6 linked regions of the Nothobranchius furzeri genome follow. The main gene of each other region encodes a partner of the protein of the gene in region 4 in a complex. Links are inferred from orthologs where the notes say so. Each region holds a gene or a part of one and is shown on either strand. Other genes may lie near its edges. The genes, in order: phosphatidylinositol N-acetylglucosaminyltransferase subunit Y, dpm2, piga, pigh, pigp and pigq.

Region 1 (2,274 bases), on a different chromosome or scaffold from region 4:
CTAAAGGGTCCGAGTTGGACAGCCCTGAATCATATGCTACGTATCACAAACCTCTCATGCTTTTATCAGACTGTGGTTCTTTTTACAAGTGTCACTGTTTAACAGAGAGCCTCCCCCCCCCCCCAGGTCGGAGCGGTCCAGCTGAGACTAAACAAACCCTTCTTCTTCAAGACAAAAGGAGAATGGCAGTCGCCTCGGCCGGAGTCTCCGCTGACCAAATTTTCTCAGGGCAGAAACCCTAAAAGCAAAAAGTGTCACTAAGGAAGGACGTGAACGTACGATGAAAGCTGTTCTTGTTTGTTTCGGAGCATTTTGGGTCAAAGGCTTAAAAGTTCGAGCTTTTTTAAAACTTGTTTTGTTTTGCATGAAAAGATGATAGTTTGTGTTTGAAGTACAGGCATGTTTGCTGGATTGTTCCTCCCTGAAGTACGTTCACATTTCATAAAACAGACATTAAATAGCTGTTCTGTGTGAAAATGTTTTTATCAAATAAAAGTAACTTATTCCAATAAAGTTGTTTATTCTTTTCTGCAAGAACTGGAAAAATCCAAGAAGTTCAGTTGTTAAATCGGTTACATTTATCCATTTTATAACAGGAGTTTGTTCAGTAGCAGTTAGCGTTTACACGGACTCGGTTACTATGAGTCCTACCTGCAAGCCTAAACTTCCAGACAAGTAAAACCCAAGTCTAGCAGACTTTAACAGACATGAAATAAAGAAAATAATGTTACTGAAGTTGGTAAAGGAGGTAAAAGTGCATCAGAAAACATGCCGTGGGTTGTTTTCAGAGAGCATCCTAGTTGTGTCTGAAGAGCTTGATCCCCATCCAGCTCCAGAGATGGAAGAAGACGTAGACGGGGATGGTGACCGGCAGCAGCAGGCTGTAGAAGCACAGACTGTTGCCGCTGGTGCAGCCTTGAGGGAAGTTCTCATCCACGGCTGCAGAGTAGAACAAGCCAATGAGTGACACGATGGGGACCAGTCCCACCATCACGGACAAGGAGAGCATTCTAGCAGATTAGCTTTACAGTTTTTTTCTTTAAAAAAATAGCAGTGCTCAATCGGTTTTCTGGCAAATGAAGGTCTTTGATAGACTTTCTGTTACTGTGCAGGTGGATTAGAAGCGTCTGTGTCCTTCTGAAGGAGTCTGGCCTCCTGGGGGATCATGTTGGGGATGCCGTCGATGATGGGATAGGCGATGCCAAGCTCCTCATTGATCAGCTCGTTGGTATTGGCATCATACCTAGAGGAAAGAAAAAGAACATCAGTTATCTGGAAAACAGATTAGACTGTTTTATGCGTTGGTTCAGTCATTTCTAATAATGAATGCCTAGGTCGCAGGTCGATGATAGACTTTGAAGTCGTATCATCCGACCTGCGGCCGTGTGTTTTGGACACCAGAGTGAAGAGAGGAGCGGAGCTGTCAACTGATCACCACCTGGTGGGGAGTTAGATCAGATGGCAGGGGAAGATGTCGCGTAGACCTGGCAGACCCAAACGCATAGTGAGGGTCTGCTGGGAACGCCTGGCAGAAGAACCTGTCAAGACGGTCTTCAACTCCCACCTCCGGCAGAGCTTTGACCGCGTCCCGAGACCAGTGGGGGACATTGACTCCGAGTGGGCCTTGTTCCACTCTGCGATTGTTAAGGCGGCTGTTGCTAGCTGTGGTCGCAAGGTGGCCGGAGCCAGTCGTGGTGTGGAGTGTGTCGAGTTTGGAGGCAGGAGAATCTCGTCTCTGCTTTTTGCGGATGATGTGGTCCTCCTAGCTTCATCCAGCTCTGACCTTCAGCTCTCGCTGGGTAGGTTCTTGCTGCCCCCGCGACCCGGATAAGCGGAGGAAGACAACGACGGTGTGTGTGTGTGTGTGTGTGTGTGTGTGTGTGTGGGGGGGGGGGGGGGGTAGATTTCACCTTTACACTGCCTCTAATGCAGCTTTGACTAATTCTTAAGTAGGATGTATTCAAACATAGTACATCCTTGTTTAATTGATGTAAACGCCCAAAACAATTTCCCAATGATGTTACTAAGCCAGTGAAAGAAATCCCTTAATTTTTGATAAAAATCCTAATAAAAAAGATCAGTTAGTATGAAAGGTGTTAAAAACTGCTGTGTCTCAATGGTCTGGCTTAGTTAGCAACACCATTTAGGAATGGTTTTGGGTATTAAAATCAATTAACCTGGCAGCTTTTGAAAGAAATCACTTCATTTTTTATTTAAATCCTAAAAATAATGATCAGATCTTGCGAAATGTGCTAAAAGCTGCAGTGTCGCTGA
Region 2 (2,226 bases), on a different chromosome or scaffold from region 4:
TGCAGCCCTTATTTGTTTTATTTGTTTGGGGTTATGGTTTACCAAAATAAATGTCATATCTGTGATTTATTGTATTTACAACAACGGAAGTGACACATCAGAGCTTTCTGGTTAATTTGTTTACATTTTCATAACAAACAAAATCAAGAATCAGCAGATTTGAACTAAAGTCTTGTGTTCAAAGTTTGAATGGAGTTTTTAAATGAACGGCATCAGAAACATGATTAAATAAGACATTAGGCCAAACCAAGAAATGCACCAGTCCTTCAGTAGTTTATTTTGGGTGATTACACTTTTTTTCTATTTAAAATATATTTATTATATATTAATAGATAATATATTTATAGATATAAACTACATAAATAAATGATATAAAATTAAAAAATAAAATAATACTTAAAAGAATAAACTTTGAGTCATTCCCAGAACCACCGTACCGATGCCGGATCCTGCAGCTTTTTATAAGACTGTATTTAATTCACACACACACACACACACACACACACACACACACACACACACACACACACACACACACACACACACACACACACACACACACACACACACACACACGCGCGCACACAAACACCTCACTGTTTATCTCTGATTCTTCCTGTTGATGATCAGGAAGCTGGATCTTGATCCCAGGCTGCATTTGTGCTTCCAGGCGTCGGGAGCAGATCAGGCGGTCGGGATGAGTCTCGTTGTTTTCAGCCTCCTGTTGTTCTCCTACTACACTGTTTGGGTCATCGTTCTGGTGGGTTCTGTTGGGTGTTTGCAGCTAACATTTCTCTAAATGAAACATCTTCCATGTCCTCATCTTGAGTTCTGTATCTGATCATGTGACTTGAGCTTCATTAGGTCACCTTTGTGTTACTTTCCAGCCTTTTGTAGACTCGGATCACCCCCTGCACAGATGTTTCCTTCCTCGGGAATATTCTGTGATCCTACCAGGTGTTGCTGCAGTAATCTTTGTCCTCTTTGTTGGTCAGTATCTTCACTCATAAACTTCTTCATTAAAACATTCTGTTTATTTTCTGTCGCATGAATATGGGATGTTGATGTTTTCCGTGGATGAGAGGAGATGACTCTGTGCTTCCTCTGCAGGAGCCTTCACTACCTTCATCATGTGGAAGGACCACAAACCAAAGAAAGTGGCCTAAGGAGGATTGAACCCCTTAAAGGTTATTCCTGCTGGCGGCGACACCAGAACCACCAGCTCATACTTTTGTTCTGCACAATAGACTTTTTCCTGCAGTTATAAACAACATGTTCTTCTGCAAAGAAGAGAAATGTCCCTTTGATGCCCTTCCGCTTCAGACGTCATTTATAGCGCGTTGGCGCCACCTAGTGGCCCAGCTCGTACTACACGATGGAGAAAACGTTCTGCAGATTCAGACTTGGTTCTATTCAGGTCTCAGAGGACTTCACTAGAACCAGACCGGTTCTATAAGATCACACCTGCTGCAGCAGAGAACCAGAGGTCACATGTCTAGATGATGTCAACATTCACCTGATTTAACCAGATTTTATTTGAATGTTTAGAAAGAGTAAATGTTTAAATGGAGCCTGTTTGAATCCGTTTCACATCCAGATGTGTTCACTCAAAGCAGACCGACTGACATCTGAGTGCTGAAATCCAGCTGTTCTGGTGTTTTACTGCAGCTGGAGTTCCCGGATGATCGTTTTTCTAAAATAAAACTAAAATGTTTTCTGCTTTGGATCTGCGCTCGTTTCTAACTCACAGACATGATGATGATAGAAAAGAGTTCAGAACCCGGAACCAGGATCTCCTCCAGGCCTGGGCCTGATCTGGACCTGCACCAGGCTCAGCCTCAGCTTGACCAATCAGTGCCTGTGTGGGGGGGTGGGGGGTGTAGAAGCTTCCGGAGCCTCCAGCTGGACCAAACTGTTGTCAGCTATTCATCGTTCTGCACCATCACTGCATGACGTTGCAGAACCGGTTCCTGCAAGTGGTTCGGTCCGTTTCGGTGGTTCGGTCCGTGCGTGTCACCGGGTGGGACCCGGTCCGTGGTGCGACCAGGCTCCGCGCGGACATGTGAGTCAGAGACCCGAACCCACCGAGCCGGCTCCGAGCTGCGGTCCGTTCTGAGGTGAGTTCTGGTGATGATGATGATGATGAAGATCTGCGGCTCGCCTCTTTGATCTGGAGTAAACTTTATTTAGTTTCAACAGAATCAGGTTTATTACCAGAACATCCAT
Region 3 (3,500 bases), on a different chromosome or scaffold from region 4:
CGCAGGTCAGATGAAACAACAACAAAGCCGATCATCGAGCTGCGGTCTAAGGTATCCAGGTGCCAAGAGCACATAGGGACACCTTTATGTCTGAACATGGTGTTCATTATGGACAATCCATGACTGGCACAGAAGTCCAAAAACAAAACACCCCTCGAATTCAGATCAGGGGGCCGTTCCTCCCAACCACACTTCTCCAGGTCTCACTGTTGTTGCCCACGTGAGCCTTAAAGTCCCCCAGCAGAACGAGGGAGTCACCGGAAGGAGCGCTTTCCAGCACCCCCTCCAAGGACTCCAAAATGGGTGTGTAGTCTGAACTGTAGTTTGGTGCATAAGCACAGACCACAGTCAGAACCCGTCCCCCCACACGTAGGCAGAGGGAGGCTACCCTCTCATTCACCGGGTTAAACCCCAACGTACAGGCACCACGATGGGGGGCAACTAGTATGTCCATCCCTGCTCGGCACCTCTCAGTGGGAGCAACTCCAGAGTGGTAGAAAGTCCAACCCCTCTCAAGGAAACTGGTTCCAGAGCCAGAGCCAGAGTCATGTGTTGAGGTGAGTCAGACTATATCTAGTCGGAACCTCTCAGCCTCACACACCAACTCAGGCTCCTTCCCCACCAGAGAGGTGACATTCCATGTGCCAAGAGCCAGCTTCTATAGCCGAGGATCAGACTGCCAAGGTCCCCTCCCTTGACTACCACCCGTCACACACTGCACCCGACCCCTTTGGCCCCTCCCACGAGTGGTGAGCCCATGGGAAGGGGGACCCACGTTTCCTCTTTGGGCTGTGCCCGGTCAGGTTCCATGGGTGAAAGCCCGGCCACCAGGCGCTCGCCAGCGTGCCCCACCTCCAGGCCTGGCTCCAGAGGGGGGCCCCAGTGACCCACGTCCGGGCGAGGGAACACGGTTTCCATTTATATAATTCATCATAAGAGGTCTTCGGGCTGCTCTTTGTCTGATCCATCACCTAGGACCTGTTTGCCATGGGTGACACCAGAGGCAGAAAGCCTCAGACAACTTAGCTCCTAGGATCATTGAGACACTCAAACCCCTCCACCACGGTAAGGTGGCAGCCCAGGGAGAGGGCCATATTTTGTCAAAAAACCTAAATCATTTCTCGTGTGTTATGTCCAGAGGACTTCTTTAGGGGGTGAATTGTGAGGGCTCTAGAGAGTCACAAATGAGCAAAAAAATATTTTTTGTTTTATCTGTCTCTTTTGTATGGTGTCAGATATTCAGAAAAACTCACATCCAGGTCCCTCACACAGAAAAAAGCTCCAACCTCCACCACCCACCAAAGCATGAAAAAATCTTTCCTCTGGTCATTTGTCGATTGCATTGAGTCATAAGTGCATGTATGTAAGTGTGCAGAATCACACAGAAAAAGCACATATACATCTGTTGTGTAGGATTTTGCACTGATATTAGACTTTGGGTGAGAACTGATTTTTCTAATGAAAACTGAAAAAAACACAGTCACATAAATTATGAAAACACATTTTATTTTTAGTAAACGTACCCAAAAACACACTCCGGAGCAAAATAAAAATAAAAAGAATTTCATCAACACAGCCAAAGTTATTCAAAAATACATGACTGCCTGCGCAACAAAATGCACGAGGGACCTCTAAGGGTTAAGGTAAATTCTTGCAAGGTATCAGATAGCTTGTTTGGCCCCCACGCAGTGTTTTCTCACTGATTCATGGAAAGTGTCTGCTCCTGTTTCCAGTTGGTTGAGCTTACACACAAGCAAAAGTTTGATCTCTTTTACATCTCTTACTTAGGTTTTACTTTCTGTGTAACAATAAACTAATCAGACCTAAATCTTTCATACAATTCATGATAATTGTGTAACTTTATCGTTAACAGATATAAACTAGTAGCAAACTAAATCTAGTCACATGTGAAAGTGTAAAGAAGTGAAACAACCTCATTAGTAAAATATTTCTTTGGTATGCATTCCAAGTAGGAAGCAGCTGGTTTTTGAGTCTTTGATTTGTCGTGTATCAGGATCACTAACTGATGCCTTTTGAACACTTTTCTGTAGGGTGCTTCTTTTCTGTCCGCTTTCACACATTCGTTTAAGTCTGCATCTTTTTTTAATAGAAAGGATTTTATTTTCAGAAACACTCCATATCTTTGGAATAGTGATGCTGAATTTAAAAATCTTCATTGTTTTATCTAAAACAAACAGATTCAGACTGATCTTTAGCTGTAGTGGAATAATTCTGATTTGCCTTATTAGAATGTTGGTTTTATCAACTCTGAGCAGCTCTTTTCCATCCTCCCTGGAAGGTTGTCAGCACTCGCGTCGGTGGCATTCCTGAGGTGTTGCCTGATGACTTAATAACCCTGTGTGAACCTACTGTGCGGTCGCTGTGTGATGGTTTGGAACAAGTCATCGCTAAGCAACGATCCGATTCTTTCCCCTCACCGGCTTCAATCCACAATCGTGTTAGAAACCTCTACACTTGGAAAAATGTCGCAGAGAGGACAGAAAAGGTACCAGAGGATGACTTGAATGATAGGATATCTGGTGTAGGTAATGACATCATCATATGTTTTTCCTCCCAGGTGTATGATAAAGTAGTTGGAGAAGAGGTCCTCCCTCTGGCCAAGAGGTTGCGGAGACTCCGGTCTCACTGTGGCCCCGTGGCTGGATCCATCTTTGCCTTTGTTGCCATGCTGGACTTCCTCTTCCTGCTGCTTCTGCAGTGGTTGTTGCCAGATCGGTTCATGGACGTGGCTGTTGATGCCACCGGCCCTCATGGACTGTGGAGACAGAAAACAAGCAGGAAAAAGTTTGACTGATTCCAAACTTGCCACAAAACGAGAAAACCCATCTCTCCTTCGGCCATCAGACTGTTTAAATGCTGTCTGTACTCGATCAAATGCTCAACGTTTACATTTTTCTAAACAAAGGGAACTTTGTGTGGAGGCTCTTCTCGGTAGTTAATAAGCACTTTTTATTTTTTCTTACACTCCCTGCTGCTCTGAACTAAAGCAGTGAAAACACTGGTTACAATAAAGCAGCAGCATCTGCTCTTAATCACGTCTAATAAAATAACAGTTGGTTTGATAAATTATTTGTTAGAGCACACGTTTATATTTATTTTTGGAAAGCTCTTGATTTTCCTGTCAGTCTATGTTCCAACCCTCACATATGGTCACAAGCTTTGAGTGGTGACCGAAAGAACGAGATCGCGGATACAAGCGGCAGAAATTAGATTTCTCCGCTGGGTGGCTGGGCTCTCCCACAAGCCCTTTTTACAAGGCGCACAGTTCTGGCATGGCGATGCGCAAATTTTGCAGCATTCCTTCCATCTCCTTGGTAGTAATATTGCTGTAATTGTCTGTCTTATTGCACCTTAGCGGCAAATTGACGGCATTGCTTTGTAAAAACCAACTGAGAGAAAGAGTGAGAAGCTTGGTCATCCAGGAGGGGCTCGGAGTAGAGCCGCTGCTCCTCCACGTTGAGAAGAGCCAGTTGTGGTGG
Region 4 (3,671 bases):
AGGCGTAGCTCTCCTGGCAGACGAGGACCGTGTTCATCCCTTTGTCCACTGCTGGACTCTGACCACTCATGTTAAACCTGGAAAGTCACAAATCTGATAATAAATCTGGACGGCCTGTGTGGAAATGGACATTTAGTTGGACCACTAAATAAGAGGAGATGTCATCTCTTCAATACTAACAATGTCATCAACGTAAGGCTCAGACCCTTTGATTTCACAACAACAACAACAATAATGTTGACAAACACAAAGGCTAGTAATGCCATTTTTGTCATTTTGGCATAAAACAAAGTTAGGTAGCACTGGCAGCTTTGGATACACCTCCCTCAATCATTTCTCTTTTGTTTATTTATATGGAGGGAGTTGTTTGTTTGTTTTGGACATGTTGCAACACAACCAGACGGTGTTGAGTGTCTAATTACAGCTCTCCAAGCTCGACAAGAGTGTCCAACTTTCCCCACATCAGCCAGTAAACAGCCTAGCTAAGACTCGCTACTACACAAAGAGACACGGTTCAAACATAACAAGTAGTATTTTTAGTCCACTGACCTACCTAACGGTGGCTTCCCGTCCAACAGACGATTTTTTTTTTCTAAAAACGATGTCCCGACGAGACCTAACCCCAGGAATTATAATCTAGGACCATTTTACCAACCGCCACATAGCTAACCAGCCGGCTGAGCAAAGCTGTTGTATCAGCATCTCGTCAGAGATGTTGTTGCAGCTGATCGGCTTGTTTTTACCCAGAGGTCAAAAGCCATTGAAACGCAATGCATGGTGGGAAATGAAGTCCGTTGTCCTGGCTCTTCTTGTACACATTAAAATCTGTGGATATCTATTTTATTTATAAAAATGCTAAAACACTTGAATTTCTGTTATACAGTTAAATAAATTTTAATAAAAGATACAAAACGACTCAAACGAATAAAGATGAAGAGTTTACGCATTACGGCCAGTACCCACAATGCTTTGCGTCTTCCAGCTGCTTTTACGATCGCTTGTATTGCCACCGGTGCACGCCGAGACAAGTGTTGATTTTGAAACGATCTGGTTAAAATCATATTAATGATCCATGACATACTATAAATGTTAATGTGTATTGATAGTATTGAAATGTATATGGTTGCTGAAATGCAGACGTTTCTTTGTTTATCAGCTCTATTGTTTAAGCACAACTTGTACTCGGGACGTCCAGGTGTCTAAAACAATGCATCAGAGGTGGAGCTAGGTGATTCAGTAGCTTAGGGATTTTTATTTTTTGGTTAAACAAAAGTTGCTTGTGTTTTTTTCTCAGTTTTTTGTTCACGTCTGCCCTTATATTGCGTAGCAAAATAATATTTATAACAGAAGGCGTTAGCTCACTGCTAATTCTGACTAGGTCACCTAGCTGCTAGCACTAGCTAAGTGCTAGCTTTTCTCCTTCATACTCTACATTTGGGCTTTACACAATGGAGGAAGAAGCCTTCACAGACATAAATGGCAAACCAATTACTCTGGACTGCCATAGTCACTCCAGCTTTTGCAGGGAGTTTACTGTTAGCTCTCCCAAGGTGTCCATTGGGAAGGTGATGGTCTACACCTGCTCTGTGTGGCTGTTAGCTTATGCTGTGTTCTTCTTCACACAGGTAAGACAAGGTATTTCAGGTTCCTTTAAATCACTGGTGTCCGGTCCTTGTCCTCGATGGCCACTACCCTGCATGTTTTAGTAGTTTCCCTGTTCCAACACGTGATCCAGTGGTTACATTACATGTTCAGTAGGCGCTCAAGCTCTGCAGAACTATGATGCAATCCCTACTGTTAACAATCTGTTGTGTTGAAGCAGAGAAACCTCTAACCTGCAGATCGGTGGCTCTTGAGGACCATGACTCGAGACCACTGTGCTTTTTATCATTTACTATAATATTAAAATGCTCTCTGGGGAGATGTCAAATATTCGAGATTTAGTCAAAGACAATAAAACAAAAAATCAAAATTTGGTGAGGTTCTCAGTTCTCATATCAAAATATGCTTTTAAGTAATTTTATAACATTTTATAAATGCTATTTTTGTAGACAGTAGTGTAAGTTTATGATCTTAATACTCTGTTTATTTTATTGTTTTAATGATTTAAATCCACAAAAAAAAAAAGTCAGCTAATTCTGGCATATATAGCATGATCAGCTTAACCAGTAATCAATGAGTCTGAATCTAAATTTTTTTTCTTTATTTGCCAAGTCTGTGAATGCACCATTGACAAATAGAAATAGAAAAATCTTTAAAAAAAAAATTCTGGTCATTAAACTCACCTTTACTAACCAATATTTCACACAAATGGTATCAGCATCCATATCCACAATCAGTGCATTTTCTCTAAAATCTGCATGCAATCGTTTCCTCTCTCTTTTAGAACACAGCGGTTCTCTCCAGTGCTATCCTCATCACCCTCGTTGGGATGATGCTTCACATCCATTTTGTGAAGGTAGACCACGAGTCTCTTCTGGTGATCGGCTCCTTGGGCATCCAGGTGTCCTCCAGCTACGCCTCAGGTCGCGAGGTCACCACTTTCATTGAGATGAGCAAGATCAAAGATATTGTCATCAATGAAGCTATTTACATGGTGTGTAAGCAGATGTAAATATAAGTTTTCAGGGAGACTTGTATTAAAATGAAATGCTTTTATTTCAGCATCAGATCATCTATTACCTGTGTGTGCTGTTGAAGGAGCCTTTCGAGCCTAATGAAGTGTCAAGTGTTGTGCCGTTGTTTCAGGTGAGCGTCAAAGTCAGTTTTTTCTTCATCTTTCTTCTATAACACACACACACACACACACAAAGAAAACCTCTGATGAATGTCCCTTTTTTAACTTTCAGAGCTCAAAACCTCGTCTCGGCTGCTTGGTGAAAGTTTACAAAAGCTGCCAGGAGATTCTTTCAACGTGCCAATAACCCTCCAGATTGAAATAATAACAAGCCTAGGTGATGTGTTTTAGGAAAATTAGCCAATTCTCTATAACGCATGAAAGCAAAACAATGATTTCTTCATTGTTTGTAATTTTTTCCTAGTTTTCCACCTTCATGAATAAATTCATGTGAGGTGATTGTGATCTTTTGCCAAATTTTGAAGATTAGTTTCACAGTTTAATTGTTTTTCTTTGTCGTGTTTATGATTTTTATATCAGCACTGACCTTTATTGCTAATCTAATTTTCCATTGATATAATTAAACTTTTCATTATTTTGGGATTAATGGTTAGAATAAACCAAGTAGAGGGAGCTGTTTTGTTTATAATGATGCATTTCTTTGTGTTTTAAGAAGTAATTTAAACATAATTGAATCAAGTTCCTGTTTTCTTGTTTGTTGATCACTCCCTGTTTTACCAGTAGAGGGCAGAACTACATTTTAAAACAGGAACCATCACTAGTTTCATGTTAGTTCCCAGAAAGACTCTTTATGCTTATGCAGCTTGTTTTAGTTGGTGTTTGTTACAGTCTTGATTAGTACATCAACCATTCTGGTTTTATTAGCTTGGATTACACAAAGAACTTAAAGATTTATGTGGATATTTTTTACCTTGTGTTTATGAATTTTTTATGTAAATTATTAGACATTATATGAATGTACCTTAAAATACTCGCTCATAAATCACGCACCTTCATTCTTTAGAGGTTGGATGTTTTCCTTGTTAGTGTTAAA
Region 5 (3,847 bases), on a different chromosome or scaffold from region 4:
GTGGTCAGTCATATCCTGGAAATAAAGTCCTGTCCAGCGTTCACACTAGAGGAAGCTTGTTTTTACAGCTACTCACCCCTCAAAACACTTCTCCTTCACCAGCATGCTCTCTGTGTCTTTGCTCTGGTGTTTGCCCTGTTTCCTCCTCAGGATCTCTGCAGCTTCTGCTCCCAACGTCTCCTCAGCATCATCAGGATCTACATCATCGAACCAAAGATCGTCCCTGCAACAAAACACAATAAAGAGTTAGGAATACAAAACTACTCTGGTCCACAATGTCTTCTAAAATCAGTACGGTGTACACACTCTGTAGGCTTCCTCTCCTCTACCACTGGTTTATTCCTCTTGGCTTTCTGCTCGCTGTTGGACTTTCCTTTGTCCCGTTTCCTTTTAGGAGCAGCTGGCTGCGGAGTGTTGGAGGCAGCTGGAACATCAGAGTTCACCTCTGATTCCTTTTGAATGGCAAATTTAGGAGCAACTGTGTGCTTGACTTTAGTCTCATTGTCTTTTTCACTGGGAGTCTTGGGAATATTTTTTAAAGTTTTCTTTGGAAAGACATTCTGTTTGGGTGACACAGGGAGCTTCTTCTCTGGCTTACTGGCATTTAGCATCTGTGGAAGGTTTCAGAAAAATCAGATTAACTTTGTAAATACACACCAGCATCACACTGATGCACAGACAAACCTCTTGGAGAGCTTTCCAGTTAGAGGAGAACTGCTGAGCCTCCTCTGGAGGTGTAGGCAGGTGAGGTTGGTGCTTCTGAGGAGCTGAAATCTTCTGAAATTTGTTTTTCGAGTTGTGTTTTATCCAAAACTCCTTCCTCTTAACTTTAGCTGTGGATTTAGGGTCAGAATGTGCTTTCTTCTTCTTCGCCTTAGACATTATGGAAAGTGTTTTTTAACAAGAAGTTGTTAAACTAAACGTTGTCAGCCATGCTGACATTTCAAAAACAATAGACAATGGCTGTTACCGCTGTCACTTAAAGTAATGTCTCCTTACCAAAAATCTGCATCAAAAATAAAACACTAACGTAAACAAGCAGCTCATTTTTTACAGAACAGCAGATAAACGTGGTTCTGCGTTCAGTTCGCAAATTCCGAAGCCATGCTGCGTTCGTTTTCCCGGCTGAGCAACAGCCAAATGGGTCCGATATGAACAAGACATCCCAGTATGAAACGTTCTACATAGTTTGAAAGCACTCTAATATTCAAATGTTTATTTTCTGTAAATATGTACTAAATCATATAAATTAGTAAATCTTCAAACAATTTAATTTGATGTCATATTTTTGTCTAGTGTATCAAAAGCGGAACTGCTTACCCGGGAAATTTTTCCGACCGAACTAACGCTGGTGCAAACTCGCAGCTGTTCTTAGGTTTTGTTGGAAATGTTTCCTGTTAGTATTATTTTAGAAATCCAGCTTTATTTACTCGTTATTTAGAAACGTAGGGGCACAAATGTTGTGAAAATTCGGAAATTTTATGAACTGAGGTAAGATGACAGAAGTATTTAAGGATGTTTTAGACTCTGGTTTGTGTTGCTTGCTTATTTCCTCTGCTTCCTGTTTGGTTTCAGATCATGGTTGAAAACTCTCCGTCTCCTGTCCCCGAGAGAGCTATTTATGGGTTTGTTCTCTTCCTTGGCTCACAGTTTGGTTTCTGTAAGTCAAAAATAATTATTTTATTCTGTTTTGCACACACACACACACTAGAACGCATCTTTTAGGTGACAGGTCAAGACTGTTCTTCCTGTATAAAATCAGAAGTAAATGATCTTTATGTTTACCTGTAAATGTGTCTGTAGTGTTTTGTTTTATTTTTTATATTCATCCTAGCTAATACACAATCTTACGTTTGTCTTGTGTTTTTAAAAGCTGACACAAGTAAAGATGGAAGACAAAACACAGCGGTGATCTCAACACTTTAAAGGATACACCTTTGTTAATTTTTTTTCACAACTCCCATGTGTGGTGTCAGGGTTAGCGTCCAAGCAGCAATGCCCCTAAAACAAAAACAGTTCTATTTGTTTGGACATCTCTGCTTTTGTGGCAGCTCTTTTCTACCTTTATGGCAGCCATCATATGACTGATTGACCATGTTTAAGTTTAATTATTTAGTGTCCGTGTTCAATTTAAACAAATGTTCGACTGTTTAAAGAAATGTTATTTGATTAAACTCCTAATCACACATTTGAATGTGAGGTTAGATTATTTCTATTAGAAGAAAGGCTATTTATTATGATAATTTAGCTTCTCGTATGTTTTATTCCTCAATGCACATCATGACCTGCTGACATAAATCAGTGCCTGCAGTCTCTTTAAAGTCAAATGCTAGCTATAGTTTCCCAACTCACTGAGTAATTGTGATTTAAGGGACTGAAGATAAATAATAACTATATTTCTCCTCCCTCTCCACAGTTCTGTACTGCTTGTGGGCATTTATACCAGAGGAGTGGCTGCATTCAATTGGACTCACATACTGGCCTCAAAAGTCTGCATCACCTTTAAAATCCAGATCAGATTTCCCACCGACATTTGGCATTTGGGATTTCTAACAAAAACTCCCTGTTCTGCACAGATACTGGGCTCTTGCAATGCCAATCTACCTGCTGGTTGCAATATCGGTGTCATTTTTGGTGTTGTTTGGGATAAACATGACCAACACTGCTCCACTGGACTCTGTGGACAACATCACAGGTGAGGTCTGATAGCATCCCAGCTGTTATCTATGAAAGGAATAAGTGTCAAATAGCAGTTTAAAAACTAAATATTTAGTGTACATTTTGTCTTGTTTTTGTGTTACAGATGTATTCGCACAAGGCCAGAGGGCCGACAGCGACTGCAAAGGCGGAGTTCCTCGACTTAAAGATGTGTCCGTTAGTGAGGTCAACAGAATGTTTTATTTGTCCCCTGAAACATAATTGATAAACTGAGTTGTTGGCAGAGTAAAACTATCTGTGTTTTACCTGGTTTGTGTTTTAAAAAACTGTTAAATGTGTAATATATGATTTGTTCTTCAAAAATAGCCTCACAACTATTTTACAATACCCGTCTAACCTTTTGATTATTTTCAGTTTCATGAAACAATCACAGATGTTATATTTATCATTTAGTAAATATAAATGTAGAAAAAAGATCATTTTAAAGCTCAGTTTACCTGCTGGGATGACTTGATGGGGAAACAAGAGTCAAAAGAGCAACAGTAAATAACTTTGTGTTATTATGACTGGTTGTTACACTGATGATCTAAAGCATAACTGAAACTGTATAAAATATCTTCGTTTGTGAGAAACGGTGAAGTTTAAATTGTAAAAAATGAAGTAAAGTTTCCTGACAGAGAAACAAGGCATGTAAATCTCTTCTGAGCTTTATTGTAAGGTGTAATTTAGACAGGTGAAACGTGATAAATTACAAACGGTGCAAGTTTTCAATAATTCATCTTAAAAGATAAAACTACTATATGAGACACTCATTACATGCAAAGCCAGATATTTTAAGCCTTTATCTGTTATAATTGTAATGGTTATGGCTTGCAGCGTATGAAAAATCTCAGACAATTAGAATATTACATCATATCAATAAAACAAGGATTTTAAATAGAGAAATGTCAGACCTTTGAAAAAGTATAATCATACCTGTGTACTCAGTATTTGGTTTGAGCCCCTTTATTGTTTATTGAATTAAATGAACTTTTGCACGATTTTCAAACTTTTCAAATTTCACCTGTATGTGTAAATGAAATTTTCTTGCGTTTAAGCCACTTTTTTTAGTGAGTAACTGCAGAGATGGGTTACTGAGTGTGGGACTTGAGAGGCTCTTAAAGCTGCTAAAAATAACTATTGGGCATGA
Region 6 (4,085 bases), on a different chromosome or scaffold from region 4:
CGGAGACAGAGAAAGAAGAAATTCAAACCATCTCTTCCATCGATCATAATGGGCAATGTGAGATCACTGGCCAACAAGATGGAGGAACTCCAAGCCCTTTCAAGGACTCAGCCAGAGTTTCGGCAGTTTCGGAACCGCTGGAGGAGGTAATGCAAAGAAGGATTCTCCAGAGAATCAAGAAAATGATGGACAACCCTGAGCATTCTCTTCACAAGACTGTCCGACAACGGAAGAGTGTCTTCAGTCAGAGGCTTCTTCAGTTTGGCTGCAACACTGACTGCTACTGGAGATCCTTCCTGCCAACAGCCATTGTAATATACAACTCTTTGATGACTTGATTATTATTATTATTCTGAGCTACTACAGCAATCAATTTCCCTCTGAGATTAATAAAGTATTTTTGAATTGAACTATCAAAATAAAGTGATGCAGGAACCGACCCGTTTGATGAGTTCAGACAGAAACAGCCTTCTGTATCTGACTGAGGGAGGAAACCTCCTGCACAAAGGATGAAGACACGTCTGTCAAACAAATAACACATTTGTTTATTCCTTGATAATCGTGGATGTTAGGTAATAATGACTGAATACCTCTTACCTGCTTCAGAAGATCTAAAATAAACTCTGCTAACTCATCATTCTCTATCACCTGTGGTGGAGGAAACAGAACTGAGCTTTATATTTGCTACTTCACGTGAGGGAATTCCTCCTGCAGCAGCTAAACACGTCCACGCGTGATTTTGTGTGCTGTCTCATACTCACAGTCCACGGAAACGACGTTAGACGCTTCATAGCAAAAAACGACGCCCTAAATTCTATTAAAACCTCTCCGTTTTTCTCCTTTCTCTGCTCTGAAACCGCCATCTTTCACGTGTGTTTGTTTACTTCCTGCATACCCACAATGCCGTTAGTCGCAGGCATATGTCGATGGCCGCAGGTGCAGCTGGGTAATGCAGTTTAACTTTTAATTCTTTGTCTCAACCAGACCACTACATTTAAAAATAAGTCGCTGCAGCTGTATAAAAATGAGAAAGCTTTTACCTCAGAACAATATTAACACATAAATACAACAAATAGCAACAATATGGTTTAAATGAAACCTATCAATAAAATATTGAATTTCTTTAAAATAGGTTTTTAGACAATCAGCTTAAAAATTGGTAAGTTACAACCTGAAATAAAACAGGAATAATTTATTATTATTATTATTATTATTATTATTATTATTATTATTATTATTATTATTATTATTATTAGTAGTAGTAGTAGTAGTAGTAGTAGTAGTAGTAGTAGTAGTAGTAGTAGTACTGCTCTTTTATCAGCTGTGTTTTCCTCCCGCGCTTTTCTTGCTATGTCACTGCAGGGGGAGATAAATGTCTTTACAGTTAAGACTCTTGAACAGCAGCAGGACCTGAGCTGGTGAGCCACAACATTCTTTTATTTCTTTGTCTGTTGGATCCACCTCTCACTCTATTGATGTTTTGTTTTCTATCATATTTTTGATATACTGAGAGAAGATGTTAGTGTTCTGGTAATTTTCTTCTTAAACCGAATATGTGATGTATGTACCACAAAACAACACATTGACTTACTCCCAGACACGAAAACGTCGTTTGTGTCTCAAGTTCTTCATGAGCTCGTTATTTACCCGTTGATTAAAACCAAGTGAGTTGGTGTAGAGAAAAACAAAACATGCAGGTAGTGGCTCTGCAGTCCTGCAGGGAATACTTAAAATGCTCGTTTGTTGAAGTGTCAGAGAATGGCTGCAAGAGGGAGACAGCTGTCCGTCACCAAGTCAATTGTCTAATAACTTTATTACAGTGTAGAATCACTGGTGCAGTATAACATAAGACACAATACACAATTGTATAAATGTACTTCTCACTCTTTTAATTCAACACGTTTTCTAAAACACTATAATTTAACGCATCCATCAATGTTTATTTTACCAGGGGGACAAGGACAGCAAAATGTTGATTTTTTTGGCACCCTTTACAGGAGGTGCCAGATCTGTGGTGCCATTTTTATTTTTATTTATTTTTTGCCAGTGACAGTACGGTTGTCATGATTTCTGTTTATTTTAGAACGAAAATCAAACCATTTGTAAATCGAATTCTGATCACAGCACGATTCGGGTTTTTTATTTTGAAATTTTTTATTTTTTTATTATAAAATATCCAAACATCCTTGTTTATTATTAATGGTGTCTCATGAAAACACAAATAACGATTTTTACATTTAGTTTTAGTTATTTATTATTTTAATTAAAGAGCAGTTGCTAATAGGAACTTACATTCACGCGCGTTTCTGACCGAACACTTCGAGGGACGGACTGTAAACAACGTGAATGAAAGCTGTTTCAACCGATGGTTTCAACGTAGGAAACTTCACTCTTGGGTTCAGATGGAAGGTGAACGTTTGTAGTCGTGTTAGAAAAGGTAAGTATGCACCGCTCTTCTGTCTTACATTTATAATGATGTTGGACGTTCAAACAGGGCCGCGTTGAGTCGTTTGTTCGGTGTGAACCTTGTTGAATTTTCGGACTGTCGACAAAATAAACTCGCTTTTTCGTCGTATTGGGACCGATTCAATCGTTTGGGAGTGAGTTGTTTATGTTTTTATGATGTTACAATATATTTTCATTTGTATTCCTCTGCTAAATCAACAGTTAATCGCCATGCTGTTCCTAACTTGTTGGATCGAAATCATTGTCAGTGGAATCAATGACATTTCCGCTCTGGGCTCGTTGCGTTGCCATAACAACCGGGGTGGACTCGATATTTCAAGGGCAAAAAGTAGACCAGCCGGTTTCAGAGATCTCCGAACTCATTGTATAAATCGGCCAACTCAAAGTCTTTCCTCCGCCAGCTCTTTTCTGTAGACGCACGTCTGTCTCCTCAGTTCACGTTGTAATTGAATTTCATTCGGCTCAACTACATTTAGCGGTATAAAGACATAAAACACAGAGGATGAACCAAAGTCCTCAATTCTGTATTTTAATTTCAAGCAGCCAGACTTTCATAATTAGTTTTTTTGCACTTAAATTTTATTTTATTTCAAGTGAACCTAAGATCTGACTTTGAGTTGCATCACTACATCAACCTTTGTTGAGATGACCTGCTGGCCTATGATGCACTTCAGTTTTCTGGTATTGTTTCTCTACGTTTGGTTTAGTTTTGTGGTAAATCACTAACAAACAACAAAGTGTGATTTGTCCTGTTGGTGTTGCTCATCTGAGACCAAATCATTCGTCTGAATCTATAAATCTAAAATAACTTCTGTATAAAGTTTAGCAGCTGCTTTATCAAAAGCCAGGTGAGATCACATTTCTTCTCACAGTCAGATCTTAATCCTGTTGACAAAACAGTGAACTGTACTACACTATAATCTTTAAATTTCAACACACCAAACCTGAGATTTAAGTTGTAGTTTTATTGTGTAAATATTAAACGTCAAGCTGATTTTGTTTTTACTTGATGTTTCATTAGATCCACTGTAGTCATGGTGCTGAAGATCTTCTTCCCGCAATGCTGCAACCGAGCTGACAGCGGGCTGCTGGTGGGCCGCTGGATCGCTGGTCATGACTCGGCTGTGGTTCTAGCGGTCATCCACTACCCGTTCATCCCTGGACAGGTGAAGCAGTACATCCAGCAGGTTTGTGTCTCAGCAGAGCCCTTACTTTCCTTCATACGTCACTGGGGGTCCAAAACAACTGTGCTGTTCTGCATATTTAGAAAACTTTAGTACAGCAGAAAATATGTGAACTTTCAATGGTTTTATCACTAAGTGATGGTGTTCTTGTTTTTAAATTGGCAACAAATTAAATCTCTCTCAAATCTTTCCTCTCTCATCTCCTCCCAGATGCAGGCTCAGAGCGGGGTGGAGCTGTCTGTCCTTGGCTCCTGGAGTTTACCCAAAGAAGGTCAAGAGGGATTGGAGAGCTTCCTGAGGGACCTGAGCACCATCTTCCCTCAGGAACGTTGGCTCCAGATCAGTCGTCAGATGGGAAAGACAGGCTTCACCTGTGAGGTGCTCAGCCGCGATCAGAGTGAGAAACTCAACCTACTCACCTTCATTTTTTTATGT

The links.
Region 1: pigh (region 4) and phosphatidylinositol N-acetylglucosaminyltransferase subunit Y share a complex: the UniProt entries of both Homo sapiens proteins name them as parts of the glycosylphosphatidylinositol-N-acetylglucosaminyltransferase (GPI-GnT) complex. The link is inferred for Nothobranchius furzeri from reciprocal best matches to the Homo sapiens genes PIGH and PIGY.
Region 2: pigh (region 4) and dpm2 share a complex: the UniProt entries of both Homo sapiens proteins name them as parts of the glycosylphosphatidylinositol-N-acetylglucosaminyltransferase (GPI-GnT) complex. The link is inferred for Nothobranchius furzeri from reciprocal best matches to the Homo sapiens genes PIGH and DPM2.
Region 3: pigh (region 4) and piga share a complex: the UniProt entries of both Homo sapiens proteins name them as parts of the glycosylphosphatidylinositol-N-acetylglucosaminyltransferase (GPI-GnT) complex. The link is inferred for Nothobranchius furzeri from reciprocal best matches to the Homo sapiens genes PIGH and PIGA.
Region 5: pigh (region 4) and pigp share a complex: the UniProt entries of both Homo sapiens proteins name them as parts of the glycosylphosphatidylinositol-N-acetylglucosaminyltransferase (GPI-GnT) complex. The link is inferred for Nothobranchius furzeri from reciprocal best matches to the Homo sapiens genes PIGH and PIGP.
Region 6: pigh (region 4) and pigq share a complex: the UniProt entries of both Homo sapiens proteins name them as parts of the glycosylphosphatidylinositol-N-acetylglucosaminyltransferase (GPI-GnT) complex. The link is inferred for Nothobranchius furzeri from reciprocal best matches to the Homo sapiens genes PIGH and PIGQ.

The regions. Positions count from the first base shown.
Region 1 is NC_091744.1:85,184,409-85,186,682, forward strand, and holds phosphatidylinositol N-acetylglucosaminyltransferase subunit Y, read right to left. Parts: upstream 1,010-2,274; coding exon 797-1,009; 3' UTR 501-796; downstream 1-500. Other genes in the region: triadin, read left to right, coding at 127-261; pyurf (protein preY, mitochondrial), read right to left, coding at 1,102-1,243. UniProt on the Homo sapiens protein: Part of the glycosylphosphatidylinositol-N-acetylglucosaminyltransferase (GPI-GnT) complex that catalyzes the transfer of N-acetylglucosamine from UDP-N-acetylglucosamine to phosphatidylinositol and participates in the first step of GPI biosynthesis.
Region 2 is NC_091746.1:70,780,029-70,782,254, reverse strand, and holds the end of dpm2 (dolichol phosphate-mannose biosynthesis regulatory protein), read left to right. Parts: intron 1-670; coding exon 671-760; intron 761-887; coding exon 888-990; intron 991-1,110; coding exon 1,111-1,166; 3' UTR 1,167-1,726; downstream 1,727-2,226. UniProt on the Homo sapiens protein: Regulates the biosynthesis of dolichol phosphate-mannose. Regulatory subunit of the dolichol-phosphate mannose (DPM) synthase complex; essential for the ER localization and stable expression of DPM1.
Region 3 is NC_091754.1:25,454,401-25,457,900, forward strand, and holds the end of piga (phosphatidylinositol N-acetylglucosaminyltransferase subunit A), read left to right. Parts: intron 1-2,299; coding exon 2,300-2,506; intron 2,507-2,578; coding exon 2,579-2,815; 3' UTR 2,816-3,022; downstream 3,023-3,500. UniProt on the Homo sapiens protein: Catalytic subunit of the glycosylphosphatidylinositol-N-acetylglucosaminyltransferase (GPI-GnT) complex that catalyzes the transfer of N-acetylglucosamine from UDP-N-acetylglucosamine to phosphatidylinositol and participates in the first step of GPI biosynthesis.
Region 4 is NC_091742.1:25,590,636-25,594,306, reverse strand, and holds pigh (phosphatidylinositol N-acetylglucosaminyltransferase subunit H), read left to right. Parts: upstream 1-1,193; 5' UTR 1,194-1,448; coding exon 1,449-1,625; intron 1,626-2,386; coding exon 2,387-2,596; intron 2,597-2,664; coding exon 2,665-2,748; intron 2,749-2,849; coding exon 2,850-2,924; 3' UTR 2,925-3,171; downstream 3,172-3,671. Other genes in the region: zfyve1 (zinc finger FYVE domain-containing protein 1), read right to left, coding at 1-70. UniProt on the Homo sapiens protein: Part of the glycosylphosphatidylinositol-N-acetylglucosaminyltransferase (GPI-GnT) complex that catalyzes the transfer of N-acetylglucosamine from UDP-N-acetylglucosamine to phosphatidylinositol and participates in the first step of GPI biosynthesis.
Region 5 is NC_091756.1:33,916,769-33,920,615, forward strand, and holds pigp (phosphatidylinositol N-acetylglucosaminyltransferase subunit P), read left to right. Parts: upstream 1-1,322; 5' UTR 1,323-1,491; intron 1,492-1,575; 5' UTR 1,576-1,578; coding exon 1,579-1,660; intron 1,661-2,416; coding exon 2,417-2,489; intron 2,490-2,576; coding exon 2,577-2,695; intron 2,696-2,803; coding exon 2,804-2,919; 3' UTR 2,920-3,347; downstream 3,348-3,847. Other genes in the region: rexo4 (RNA exonuclease 4), read right to left, coding at 77-223, 307-611, 685-882. UniProt on the Homo sapiens protein: Part of the glycosylphosphatidylinositol-N-acetylglucosaminyltransferase (GPI-GnT) complex that catalyzes the transfer of N-acetylglucosamine from UDP-N-acetylglucosamine to phosphatidylinositol and participates in the first step of GPI biosynthesis.
Region 6 is NC_091745.1:17,739,454-17,743,538, forward strand, and holds the start of pigq (phosphatidylinositol N-acetylglucosaminyltransferase subunit Q), read left to right. Parts: upstream 1-1,285; 5' UTR 1,286-1,418; intron 1,419-2,309; exon of another isoform or gene 2,310-2,437; intron 2,438-3,487; 5' UTR 3,488-3,500; coding exon 3,501-3,653; intron 3,654-3,860; coding exon 3,861-4,083; intron 4,084-4,085. Other genes in the region: protein-lysine N-methyltransferase EEF2KMT, read right to left, coding at 441-521, 598-648, 762-863. UniProt on the Homo sapiens protein: Part of the glycosylphosphatidylinositol-N-acetylglucosaminyltransferase (GPI-GnT) complex that catalyzes the transfer of N-acetylglucosamine from UDP-N-acetylglucosamine to phosphatidylinositol and participates in the first step of GPI biosynthesis.